Ovis aries: one gene and its partners. The protein of the gene in region 2 interacts with the protein of the main gene of each other region in a pairwise test. Links are inferred from orthologs where the notes say so. Each region holds a gene or a part of one and is shown on either strand. Other genes may lie near its edges. The genes, in order: NPDC1, keratin-associated protein 10-12-like and NAXD.

What was found.
Region 1: the proteins of keratin-associated protein 10-12-like (region 2) and NPDC1 interact in binary tests that used the Homo sapiens proteins (3 or more experiments, as listed by UniProt). The two-hybrid records come from large-scale screens. The link is inferred for Ovis aries from reciprocal best matches to the Homo sapiens genes KRTAP10-7 and NPDC1.
Region 3: the proteins of keratin-associated protein 10-12-like (region 2) and NAXD interact in binary tests that used the Homo sapiens proteins (3 or more experiments, as listed by UniProt). The two-hybrid records come from large-scale screens. The link is inferred for Ovis aries from reciprocal best matches to the Homo sapiens genes KRTAP10-7 and NAXD.

Annotation. Positions count from the first base shown.
Region 1 is NC_056056.1:874,947-878,688, reverse strand, and holds the start of NPDC1 (neural proliferation differentiation and control protein 1), read right to left. Parts: upstream 2,884-3,742; 5' UTR 2,706-2,883; coding exon 2,594-2,705; intron 1-2,593. UniProt on the Homo sapiens protein: Suppresses oncogenic transformation in neural and non-neural cells and down-regulates neural cell proliferation. Might be involved in transcriptional regulation.
Region 2 is NC_056054.1:262,544,455-262,548,196, forward strand, and holds keratin-associated protein 10-12-like, read left to right. Parts: upstream 1-1,337; 5' UTR 1,338-1,487; coding exon 1,488-2,387; 3' UTR 2,388-3,393; downstream 3,394-3,742. UniProt on the Homo sapiens protein: In the hair cortex, hair keratin intermediate filaments are embedded in an interfilamentous matrix, consisting of hair keratin-associated proteins (KRTAP), which are essential for the formation of a rigid and resistant hair shaft through their extensive disulfide bond cross-linking with abundant cysteine residues of hair keratins.
Region 3 is NC_056063.1:84,597,152-84,600,793, reverse strand, and holds part of NAXD (ATP-dependent (S)-NAD(P)H-hydrate dehydratase), read right to left. Parts: intron 2,025-3,642; coding exon 1,974-2,024; intron 1,894-1,973; coding exon 1,789-1,893; intron 1,034-1,788; coding exon 913-1,033; intron 1-912. UniProt on the Homo sapiens protein: Catalyzes the dehydration of the S-form of NAD(P)HX at the expense of ATP, which is converted to ADP.

The DNA of each region.
Region 1 (3,742 bases), on a different chromosome or scaffold from region 2:
GGCCATTGTTCTCGCAGGCCCTGCCTCCCCTGCGTCAGGGATCAGAACCAGGAAGATAAACAGGCCTGACACTTATGGGAACTCCCTCGCCCCACCCATTCCCCAGAGTCCAGTGCCCAGGCCCAGGCCAGCTTTCTGCACGGAAACTGTCCCTTGTCCTGAGAGTGCAGAGCTCTCCTAGGCAGGATCGGGTAGCCCTCCAAGCCCTGCTTCTGGCCTCAAGCTGACCCAGAGCAAGCCTCTCACCCAGCCTGGGAGCCCCAGAGGGTGGGGCCCTGGTCTGTCCCATTCCCTCAGGGCTGCCACTCAAAGCCGCCACTCAAAGCCCATCACGACATCCTACAGCCCTAGAAAGCCCGGCTGGGAGACGGCCCAGATCCAGTCGCTCCCCCCCACATCTACCTTCCAGCCCGTCCTGTCACAGAGAGGGGCTGCTGGGGTGGGGAAACCTGGGATGGGGCTGCCGGGCTCACTGGCCTCGCAAACAGAAACCAGGCGGGGCACTCTTGTAGCTGCCGCTGCCAGGGACAGGGGCCTGGGACTGCAGCAGGGAGGCCACTTCTAATTGGGGGCCCAGACCTCAGCGTCCTGCGCACACAGCCATGGCTCCCACCCTGATGCTGGGCACTGGAGGGCGGTGGCCCTCTCAGCCTCAGTCTCCTCTCTGGATGCAGAAGGCGAGGCACCGCCACGCTGCGGAGTCTCAAGGCCTGGGACACTGGCCCCAGCCACTCAGCAGCAGAGCCTGGGGAGCCACAGAGAGACCCAACAGGACCGTCAATCATGCCTGGGGAGGTGGGGCTCGGGGTATCTTGGACGACCAGGACTGGTCCCCTTGGCCCAGCCCCGTCCCCGCAGGAGGGTGACATCCCAGGCTGTCCTCCAGACTTCAGCTGGCCTGACTTGGTTTCCCTGGTAATGATACTCACAGCCCGTTGGCTGTAGGTATCCCTTGGAGGAAGTTCCAGCAGCTTCTACAGCAGGTGGACAAGTGGGCTGGGGCTCCCCTCCCAGGGATCCCACCTCCTGCACAAGTTGGGTCGGCAGGCACCAGTGTCAGCGCGGTGGACCCAGGGCTGGGGCTGGTTAAACATTAAGCCTGGGCCAGCAGGTCTGTCTAGACCCCACCCACAGCTGGCCCCCCCGGGGAGCCAGGCAGTCCCAGCCCCTGGTGCTGAGAACTTGGGGTACACTGACCAGGGCAAGGGGCCTGCGGTCCAGAGCCAGCTCTCGGTTCTGGGCTCCAGGGGTCTCCCTTCGCTCCCTGCCCCCCGCCCCGGGAAGACGCGGGTGCTCCGCACTGACCCTAGCAAGGTCCCCGCTCTAATCAGAGCACAAACGAGGCCCCAGGACAACGACACCTGGACAGCGGCTGGCACGCTGCCCCGCATCTGGGCGAGCACAGAGCTGACGAGCCGCTGGGGCGGCACCTGGCCTCCCGGTCTCTTCGGGGGCCCCACGCTGTACGCCCTGGAGCCAGGCCGCCAGCAGGCAGCCTCCACCATCCCGGGCCAGCCATGCCCTGACCCTCAGGCCTCCTTGGGAGCCTCCTCTGGTCAGGCCAGGCCCCTGACCAGGGGTGCTGTGCCCAGGAAGAAGCCTGCCCTGCTCTGGCCTCTTGAGGCTACATGCAGACCACACCTCACAGGTTAGCGTCCCAGCCTCATTGCATACTGGTCACGGCACTGCTGTGCCTCAGTTTTCTCATCTGTGAAGTGGGCTAAAGGCAGCACCTCTCCTGCGGAGCTGCTAGGAAAAATGGGGCCTGGGTACCTAGCCCCCTGGTCCTGCCACCTGAGAGGGTGTGAGGATTCTGGGTTCCTGCAGAAGTCTGGAGCCTCAGTGCCATCTGGGAAGCTGGCAGGGTCTCCCAGGACCCTGGGCTCATCCCTCTCTGCATGATCTGCCCTGGGGGGTGCCCCCACTGCCAGGCACAGAAGACAGCACGGAGGGGCCCCGCAGGGCAGCGGGTGAGTGAGGAAGCAGAGACTGTGAGCTCCTTCTGCCCTCAGCGAGGCCAGAGCAAGCCCCGAAGCCTGAGACGAGCTGTCAGACGCCCGGGAAACTTCAGACGCCACCACGGCAGCAAAGCAAGGTGCGTGTCCACCGCCGGAGCGGCAGGGACAGACCAGCACTGCGGCTCCAACTCCAGGACGGCCACCAGCAAGAAGGCCAGCAGGCACCGGAGCCGCGCGCACAGAGAAACGCCCGTGGGACCGGCTCCAGGCCGCGGCCCGCTCCGAGACAGCCCGCCTGCGACACCGACCCACCGGCTCACGAACCCAGACAAAGACAAGAAGCGGATGGACTTCAGGTTCGCCGCCAAGGAGCCCGGAGAAGCCCCGTCCAGAGGAGTCCCTCGGCGGTGCGGCGCCGCGCCCTTCCCGCCGGGGACTGTTTACCCGGGCAGGGCCAGGCGAGGCCGGCGCGGCGGCTCGCGGGCTGGGCCGGCGGGGCCTGCGAGGCCTGCGGGCCCAGACCGGGGCGGCGGCGGCGGCGGGGAGGGTGAGCGCGGCGCCGCGCGGCCCAAGCCCCACCCGGCGACCCCCGAGCCCGGGGCGCCCCGCAGCCGGCCGCCCCGCGCGTCGCTCACCGGAGCGGCCGCCGGCCGCACCGCGCAAGGCCGCGCCGAGGACGAGGCCGGACAGCAGCAGCCGCAGGAGCCGCAGGTGCCGCGGGGAGGGCGGGGGCACGGGCGTCGCCATCCTTCAGCGCCGCGGCCGGGGCAGCATGGCACCGCGCGGCCCGGGGCTGGGCGCGGGGTCGGGGCGCCAGGGGACGCGGCGGCGAGCGGGGGGCGGAGGCCGGAGGCGGGCGCCGAGGGGAGCAGGCGGCGGCGGCGCTGACGCTGCGGCAGACGAGCCGGGCGGGGGCGGCGAGGGCGCCGAGCCGGAGTGCGCCTGCGCGCCCCACCTGCGGAGGCGGGCCCGCCGTCAGGCTGCGCGCCCCGCCGATTCCGAGCCCCCCCTCGACCCCGCAGCCCGCCCTCGGGGCGCCTCAGCCTCTGCGACCTCTGCAACCTGGACCTTCTCCAGGCGGGGCACTGGTTGGGGCTGGGTTCCCTGGGATGCCCTTCCCCAGCCGGTCCCTCTGGGGCTGATAACTCCCACCCACCCCCAGCCACCCTCCTGGAGCGGAGGATCCGCCTGGGTCTGGAGGTACATTAGGCGCACACAGCAGGGCAGGCGCACGGGGACGCGCAGGTGTGCCCGGAGGCCGACCGGGCATTCAGACACGCGGCAAAGGCACACACAGGCGCGCAGGACTAGCCCGGCCGCTCCCGGTGAGGCCACCAGGGGGCAAGAGTGACCTGGGACTGCTGCTGAAAGCCAGCTGGGAGCTGTCCACGGTGCCCGGGTGACAGCCTTTCAGCTCCGGGATGCCCACGACGGCACGCACTGGGGTGCACCCCATAACCCCACCTGCTGCCTCCTGGGAGCGCAGCCTCCGCGTCCCACCTGGAAACCTCCCCGGCTCCCGTCCCTGAGAGATCAGGGCGGCTTTCCCCCGCCCCCTCCGCCTTCGGTGCGCCTCTCGGCCCTTTGAGTCTCGGAACTCCGAAGACGGGGCTGGTGGCCCGCAGGTTTGTGAAATGCTCAGAATCTGGCAGACGTGTGTGTGGGGTGTGCGTGGGGGGGGGACGGTGTGTGCAGTGTGTGTGTGTGAGCAGAACAAGGACCGCCCCCGTCCCCTACGAGGCACTGATTAGACAGAAATAGTGTCAGAGCTCACTTCCCAGAAA
Region 2 (3,742 bases):
ATGTATGCCAAGTTGGAGTCAGACACAAAAGGCCACCTATTGTGTGATTCCTTTTACATGAAATGAGCAGAACAGCCAAAGTCATAGAGACAGAAAGCAGAGCGGTGCTTGACAGGGACTGGGGAGGGTCTACCCAATACTACAAGATTTCCTTTTGGGAATGTCCCGGGACTAGATAGTGGTCATAGTTGTACAGTGTTGTGACTGTACTAAATGTCCCTGAATCGAACACTTTAAAATGGTTAATTTTATATTATTTGTTACATGTAATAAAAAAAAAAACGTACCTGTTAAGGATTTCTAACAGGGAGGCCCCTAGAGCTTCCCTGGTGATCCAGTGGTTAACAATCCACTTGCCAATGCAAAGAACATAAATTTAATCCCTGGTCTGGGACTAGCCCACGTGCCACAACTACCAAAGCCCATATGTCCTAAAGCCAGTGCTCCTCAATAAGATAAGCCATTGCCAAGAGCAGCCTGCCCACTGCAACAAAAAGTAAGCCCCGTTTGCCACAACCAGGGAAAGCCTACATGTAGCAACAAAGACCCAGCTCAGCGAAAAGTTAACTAATTTTTAAAGAAGAGTGAGGACCTCAGACTGTGCAGCACTGGGTGTTACCAGTGTTGTAAATCTTGGCTGATCTTGCAGGTGGGATATTTGTGTTTTAATTTAGAGCCTTTTAATTATCAGTGATATCCAGTAGCTTTTCAAATGTTGATTGGAAATTTGAATGGACTGTGTGCTTGTGTTTGATTCTATTGTATCATATCCTGCTTTAGTTGTAAAGGCTTTCAACTTTTACATTGCAAATATTTTCTAGCAGTTCAATATCTTCACTTTATATGCCAAAAATATTTCTTTTGGGTTCTGATTGAAGTTACATCAGGGATGGATTGATCCAGAAAGAGTGGTAATTCAGTCTATAGCTCTGAGTTTCTTGCTTACACCTCTCGGGTCCCAGTGGATATATGTTGTGTGTGTTCTTTGGTCAAGTTTTCTATTTCGCTCGCAACTTATCTTCTTAGTAATGCTCTTAGGTATAGTTTGGGCTGCGGTAAAGCTAGGCATCTTTCCCTATGTATTCTCACACTGTCAAGGCTGGCGTGAAGTGGGAGCGGCTGCAGTGGCTGGGAACTTGTCTCACGCTCAGCCCCTCCCTCCGTGAACGTGACTTAAGAACCCTGGCAGGCATTCAGCAGAAACTTGCGTCTTGCATCCTCCACAAGTTTTCTGGAGCCAAACAAAGAACAGATGGGAAAACAGACTCTTGCAACGTACTCACATGTTTAATGAGTAAAAGCTAATTGTAGAAAACACAGCAGCCCTAATGAGGGTCAGCTCCAAACAGCAACAAGGAAGGGAGAGCGTGGGAGCCTCCGACCAGGGCCACGCGCATACTCAGGGCGGGTATAAAAGCAGACACCCTCAGCACTTCACTCACACACTCACACACACTTACACCTCCTCCAGCCGTACCACCTCCACCATGGCCTTCTCTAACCTGTCTGCTTGCTCCAGCGACCTGAGCTACAGCAGCCGGATCTGCCTGCCTGGATCCTGTGACTCCTGCACCGGCTCCTCCTGGCAGGTGGATGACTGTCCAGAGAGCTGCTGCGAGCCCCCCTGCTGTGCCCCCAGCTGCTGCACCTCGGCCCCCCGCCTGACCCTCCTCTGCGCCCCAGTGAGTTGTGAGTCCAGCCCCTGCTGCCAGCCAGCCTGCAGCAGCTCCTGCCCAGCCTCATGTGGCCAGCAGTCCAGCTGCCAGTCCTCCTGCTGCACCTCCTCCCGCTGCCAGCAGGCCTGCTGTGAACCTGTCTGCTGTGAGCCTGTCTGCTGCAGGCCCGTCTGCTGCAGGCCTGTCTGCTGTACACCTGTCTGCTGCACACCTGTCTGCTGCAGGCCTGTCTGCTGTGAGGCCTCCCCCTTCTCAACCTCCTCATGTTGCCAGCAGTCCAGCTGCCAGCCCTCCTGCTGCACCTCCTCCTGCTGCCAGCAGGCCTGCTGTGAGCCCGTCTGCTGCAGGCCTGTCTGCTGTACACCTGTTTGCTGCAGGCCCGTGTGCTGTGAGACCTCCCCCTGCTCAGCCCCCTCATCCTGCTGCAGACCCTCCTCTTCCGTGTCCCTCCTCTGCCGTCCTGTGTGCCGCCCCGTGTGCGGCCCCACCTGCTGTGTGCCCGCCTCCTCTTGCAAGCCCAGCTTCTGCCGCCCGGCCTCCTCTGTGTCCCTCCTCTGCCGCCCTGCGTGCCGCCTCGCCTGCTGTGTGCCCACCTCCTCCTGCCAGCCAAGCTGCTGCCGCCCAGCCTCCTCTGTGTCCCTGCTCTGCCGGCCTGCATGCTCCCGCCTGGCCTGCGGCATCCCCACCTCAGCCCCGGAGCTCTGCTGCTGACCGGCCAATCACCCGCCCTCCACAAGCTGCTGTCTCTCTCCCAAGCTCCAGGAGCCCCTCTGCTGGCGCCAGGACCTCCCCTCTCCCAAAGTTGGACACGCAGCTGCTGCCCAGAGAGGATTCGAACTTGGCAGGCATCTCAGAAAGCCCTTGACAGGGTGGACTGTGGGGCCCCAGGAGCCTCCTCTGCAGGACAGGCTGCTTGAATCCCATATGACAAACATCAGCTGCTCTAATGAATAAAGCGTTTGTGTCAGGAAATATGGACCCATGTCTGTTTTGGCCTCCTCCCTTGGGCCCCCTCAGCCCCTCCAAATATGGCCTGTAGGTGCTCTGCTGGCAGAAGCCAGGCAGTAAAGACACATTCTCCCATCCGAGTTCAAAGCAGCTGAGAAACAACAGGATCTGAAAGCTGGTGCCATTCACACATTCTATGTCCCTTCCTACCCCAGGCTCACTCTCCCTGCAGTGGACGGCCCTTCAAGGCTGACATGGAGGCGGGTGTGGGTGCAGAAGGCTCAGATCCTGAGTGGGCCCTGGGTTCCTCCCCCTGCCCATGCAGGTTGAGGGTGACTTGGGGAGCAGCAGAAACCCTCCTGGGTCTGGATCGGAGAGTCCAGGGTAAGTGCTGTTGGAGAGACGTGCCAACACTGAGGAGGAGATTCTGGGGGCTCCAAGGGGGTGCAGTGTCAATTTAGACATCACTCATTCTACTCAAGGTTTCAAAGCCTGACCGAGGAGGGACAGAACAAAAGAGACGCCTTGTGAACAAACCCTCAGGACAGTAGGGGAGAAAGAGCCTGCAGTCTTAGTGGACATTAGCAATAGAGGAAGTGGGCACCAGTCAGCACCAGTCAACTACTTATCCCCCACCAGAAACAGACTGATGAGGCCCATAGGAGCAGGAGAACAGTGGTGGCTGGGGCAAGAGGGACCAGGAACTGAAGGCATCTCCCCAGGGGATACTATCCCCACCCCAGCTCAGTTCCATCCAGGAAAGAGGGAATGGAGCAAAACCCTAAGAGGACTGGTAAACAGGTGTCCTGCCTCAACTCGTAAATCTCTTTCCTGAGTTTACTCAAGACAAGTACCATTTTTCTCCTTTGCCTTTAGCTTCTTTTCTTTTCTCACCTATTTGTAAAGTCTCCTCAGATAACCATTTTTGCCTTTTTGCATTTCTTTTGGTTGGGGATGGTCTTAATCACTGTCAAGTGATCAAAGGCAAAGGAGAAAAGGAAAGATATACCCATTTGGATGCAGAGTTCCAAAGAATAAAAGGAGAGATAAGAAAGCCTTCCTCAGTGATCAGTGCAAAGAAAAAGAGGAAAACAATAGAATGAGAAAGACCAGAGGTC
Region 3 (3,642 bases), on a different chromosome or scaffold from region 2:
TCTGCACAGTGAGAAGTTTCTTTTTCTTTGAAAATGTCTGAAACAGATGTGCCTCTGACTGTGTCAGGGATCAGAGCACCTTCTAGCATCTGAAGAACCCACAGGTCTCAGGGTCCCTCGGAGAACGCTCGCTGGGTCTCCTGTCCAGCGTGTGTGCGCATGTGCGTGCGTGGCGTGTGAGTGCGTGCGCGTGGCGTGTGAGTGCGTGTGGCGTGAGTGCGTGTGAGTGCGTGCGCGTGGCATGTGAGTGCGTGTGTGCGCATGTGCGTGGCGTGTGTGTGCGTGTGGCGTGTGAGTGCGTGTGTGCGCATGTGCGTGTGCGTGGCGTGAGTGCGTGCGTGTGGCGTGAGTGCGTGCGAGTGCACACACGTGCCCAGGCCTGTGCTTCTCTGGCCCCTGGTTCCCATGACCTGGTCAGCAGCCCTGCGTGTCCAGCTGTCTGGCCACTGCCCGCTGGGCCTGGCGCCACCGGGGGGCTGTACCAGCGGGAGGGCCCTGCAGGGAGCAGAGGTGCCGCGCGCTGAGCCCGGAGCCCCGCTGAGGGCACGGGCAGGCGGCCCCCAAGGCTGTGCTTGGTGCCCGGGGACTCCCGCGCCACCAGCTGCTCCCTGGCGTCTCCTTTCTGGGCGCTCTTGTGAACTGAACGAGCAGCAGGCACTCAGTGCCCGCGTCCGTCTGCTGTGGGGGGCCCTCCGTGGGCCGTCGCACACAGCAGGGAAGGAGCATCCGCCGCCATGCCGGGGCCAGCCCGGGCCAGCACGCCCCACCAAGACCACCTCCCTGTGCAGAACACCGAGCGACAGGGCAAAGCCAGGCTTCCCGAGGTTGCGGACAAGCGGTCCTCCTGGGGCTGGTGCCCAGCGTGGCTGTGCCAACTGGCTGAGATGCGGGGTGGCGTCTGCACCCACTCACCCTGCTCGCCGTCAGAGATCACGTCCTGCTCCCCCTTCTGCACCACGGTGACGTTGCCCAGGGCCTGGCTGAGTCTCAGCACCGCTCCGTGACGGTCCCCGCCCTCCAGGGGCGCCCCCAGCTAGACAGGACCAGAGACATGGGCCTCATGGGACACGGGAGAGCCTGTCTGCCCGGGGTCCGGCTCGTCTGGGGGCCTGCCTGGCACCTGCCAACAGCCAGACGAGCCGGGCCCTGAGGCCCAGGCCATCCGTGCTCCAGGCGGACAGCAACACAGCCCTCGGGGCAGAAACACCGCAGGGTGCCCGCCCCGACCTGGTCCTGGCGGAGTCAGGGCCCCGGCCCATGGCAGGGAGTCTGCAGGTTTGCCCGAGTGACGCAGCTCTGAAGGATAAAGAGCAGACGCACATGGGCTAACACGTAGGACGCTGGGTGGACAGACGCAGCTGACCCTTCAACAATTTCGGTGTGAATGGCTCGGTCCTTACATGTGGGCTTTCTTCCACAGTAACTACGATCAGCCTGGCCGAGTCCACGGAGGCAGAGCGGCAGGTGTGGAGGAAGCGCGCGGAGCGAGGGCCGGCTGGCCGACCCTCAGGCTCTCAGCGGCGTGCAGGCAGCACCTAGCCCCATGCTGTGCGGTCAGTGGTGCGGTTTGATCTCGTCCTCAAAAACCCTATGACGTGGACCCCGTCCCACCCCACCTCTCAGAGGAGGGCATGCGGGGCAGGGACGAAGCAATCGCCCGGGGGGGGGCGGTGCCTGGAGGCCAGGCTGACCCCCGAGTCCACCACCCAGGTTTCACCCCGTCAAGGACGCTGACCGGAGGATGCTCTGGAGTGCATGCAGTCACCTGCCTGTGCCTGGCTGACTCACCACAGCCTCGGACAGTCTGCCGAACTCCACGTGGTTGGGGGTGAGGACCGCCTTCCGGTAGCCCTGGATGAGGGCTGGCTGCTGGGCAATAAGCCAGAGCCCGTCCTGCGGACGAGGACGCGGGTCATTCAGGAGCGGCCGAGGGGGCTGCGGTGAGGAGGGGGCAGGGCAGGGGCCACACTCACTGCGTCGATGACCACGGGGACTCCCCTGGCCTTGGATGCTTCTAGAATGCCCTGCAAGAAAGGCAGGCAGCTAAGCACTGAGCCCGTTGCCTGAGGAAAGCTGAAACAGCAGTTCCGACGGACTCCACACCAGGCCATCAACACACACACGGGACTCATTAAGCAAGTGCGAAACACAGTGAGAAGAGCCCTCTGCAGGGCCAGCCTGAACTCTGAACACGCGAGCCACAGGACCAGCACTGGTGCTGGCTCCCAGGCCAGTCCACGGAGGCCGACCCCCAGCCAGCATCTCCAAACTCCCAACAGTTGCGGACCCTCGGGATTCGGGGTCAGAAACCTGACGCCTCAAGCGCCCAGCTCTTCTGTTTTTACGCACCTCTCGTACGTCACATTTCATGAGTCTTTAAGTGTGACCGTGACCGTCAACAGTGAACGAGGCTCGACACGAGTGTCCTAAAGCCGACTGTGGCGATGCCTGCGAACTCCGTGAACACACCGCCAGCCCGGCAACCGCGCCCTTTAAGTGACTGGGCGCTATGGCCTGTGAAAACCTTCCTAAAATCGCCGAAAGGAAAAGCAGGGACCTGAATCCCGGAGAAACTACCTCCCTCCCTGAGGTGGCCGCGCGGCAGGGGGTCGCTTTATTTACTGAGGTTGCTACAGGCCGTTCAGTCCATTCACTGAAAGCGTACAGAAAGCAGCCATCACCACAATCAGTTTCAGGATGACATTCTCATCCGCCGAGAAAGGAGCCCCATACCCGTCCTGCCCAGGTGCAGACAGGCTGTTGCACAGATCACGCCAACAGTGAAATCGCTCAGGAAAGACCTACTGAGCATCTATGATTGGGCAGCACCCAAGGGAGCCGAGAGGGGGCGAGCAGAGGGCAAGCCCACCTGCTAGCTGGGGCCCGGTCGGGGCCACAGACATGCCAGCAGGTCTATGCTGGCTCACTCCCAATCTCTAACTCACGCTGCAGAGTAGCTTTTTTTTTTAAAAGATAAACACACTAAACGTTTTATTATGAATTTCTGAAAATAACAAAGAACTTGAAGCACAGAGAACCCCGCCTTTCATCACCTTAAATTCATCCCCAACCCCTCTTGATACAGATTATGGTTTCACGTCTCTATAAAAATCACTTTTATTTTAGTTTTCTGGATACAGTATTCCTTGACTGAGCACAGCCCATGTGTCTGTAAGACGGTTCTACGAAAACATTAAGGTATTCCAGGCAGATAACGTCAAAGTTTGCTTGCGTGCTCGCCATCTGGGTGGGTGAGGACAGGCCCTCCACACGGACCGTCTGTAAACAAGCACCCCCTGGCATCAGTCGCCGCCCTCGGCAGCTCGGTCCCTGGGGGGCCGGCAGCGGGTCTGTGGCTCCAGGACACGCGCTGAGAGGCTGCGGGAGGGGCGCCCCCGACCACACCGTGTGCGGTAACTGGGCCGACTGTCGGCACCAGCGTCACAGACGCATGTCCTGGGCAGCCCTGCCCCGCCTGTGGCGGCCGCGGGCCCTGCTCAGCGACAGGCCGCAGGCTTGAGGACGCGGCGTCTCTGGCCCCAGCTTCCACTCCAAAGGCTGGAACGCCGAGTCGTGGAAGGGGCCCCGAGGACATTCAAGTTCTCACTGAATTCTGCCAAAGCCCACACATGCCTGCCCTTC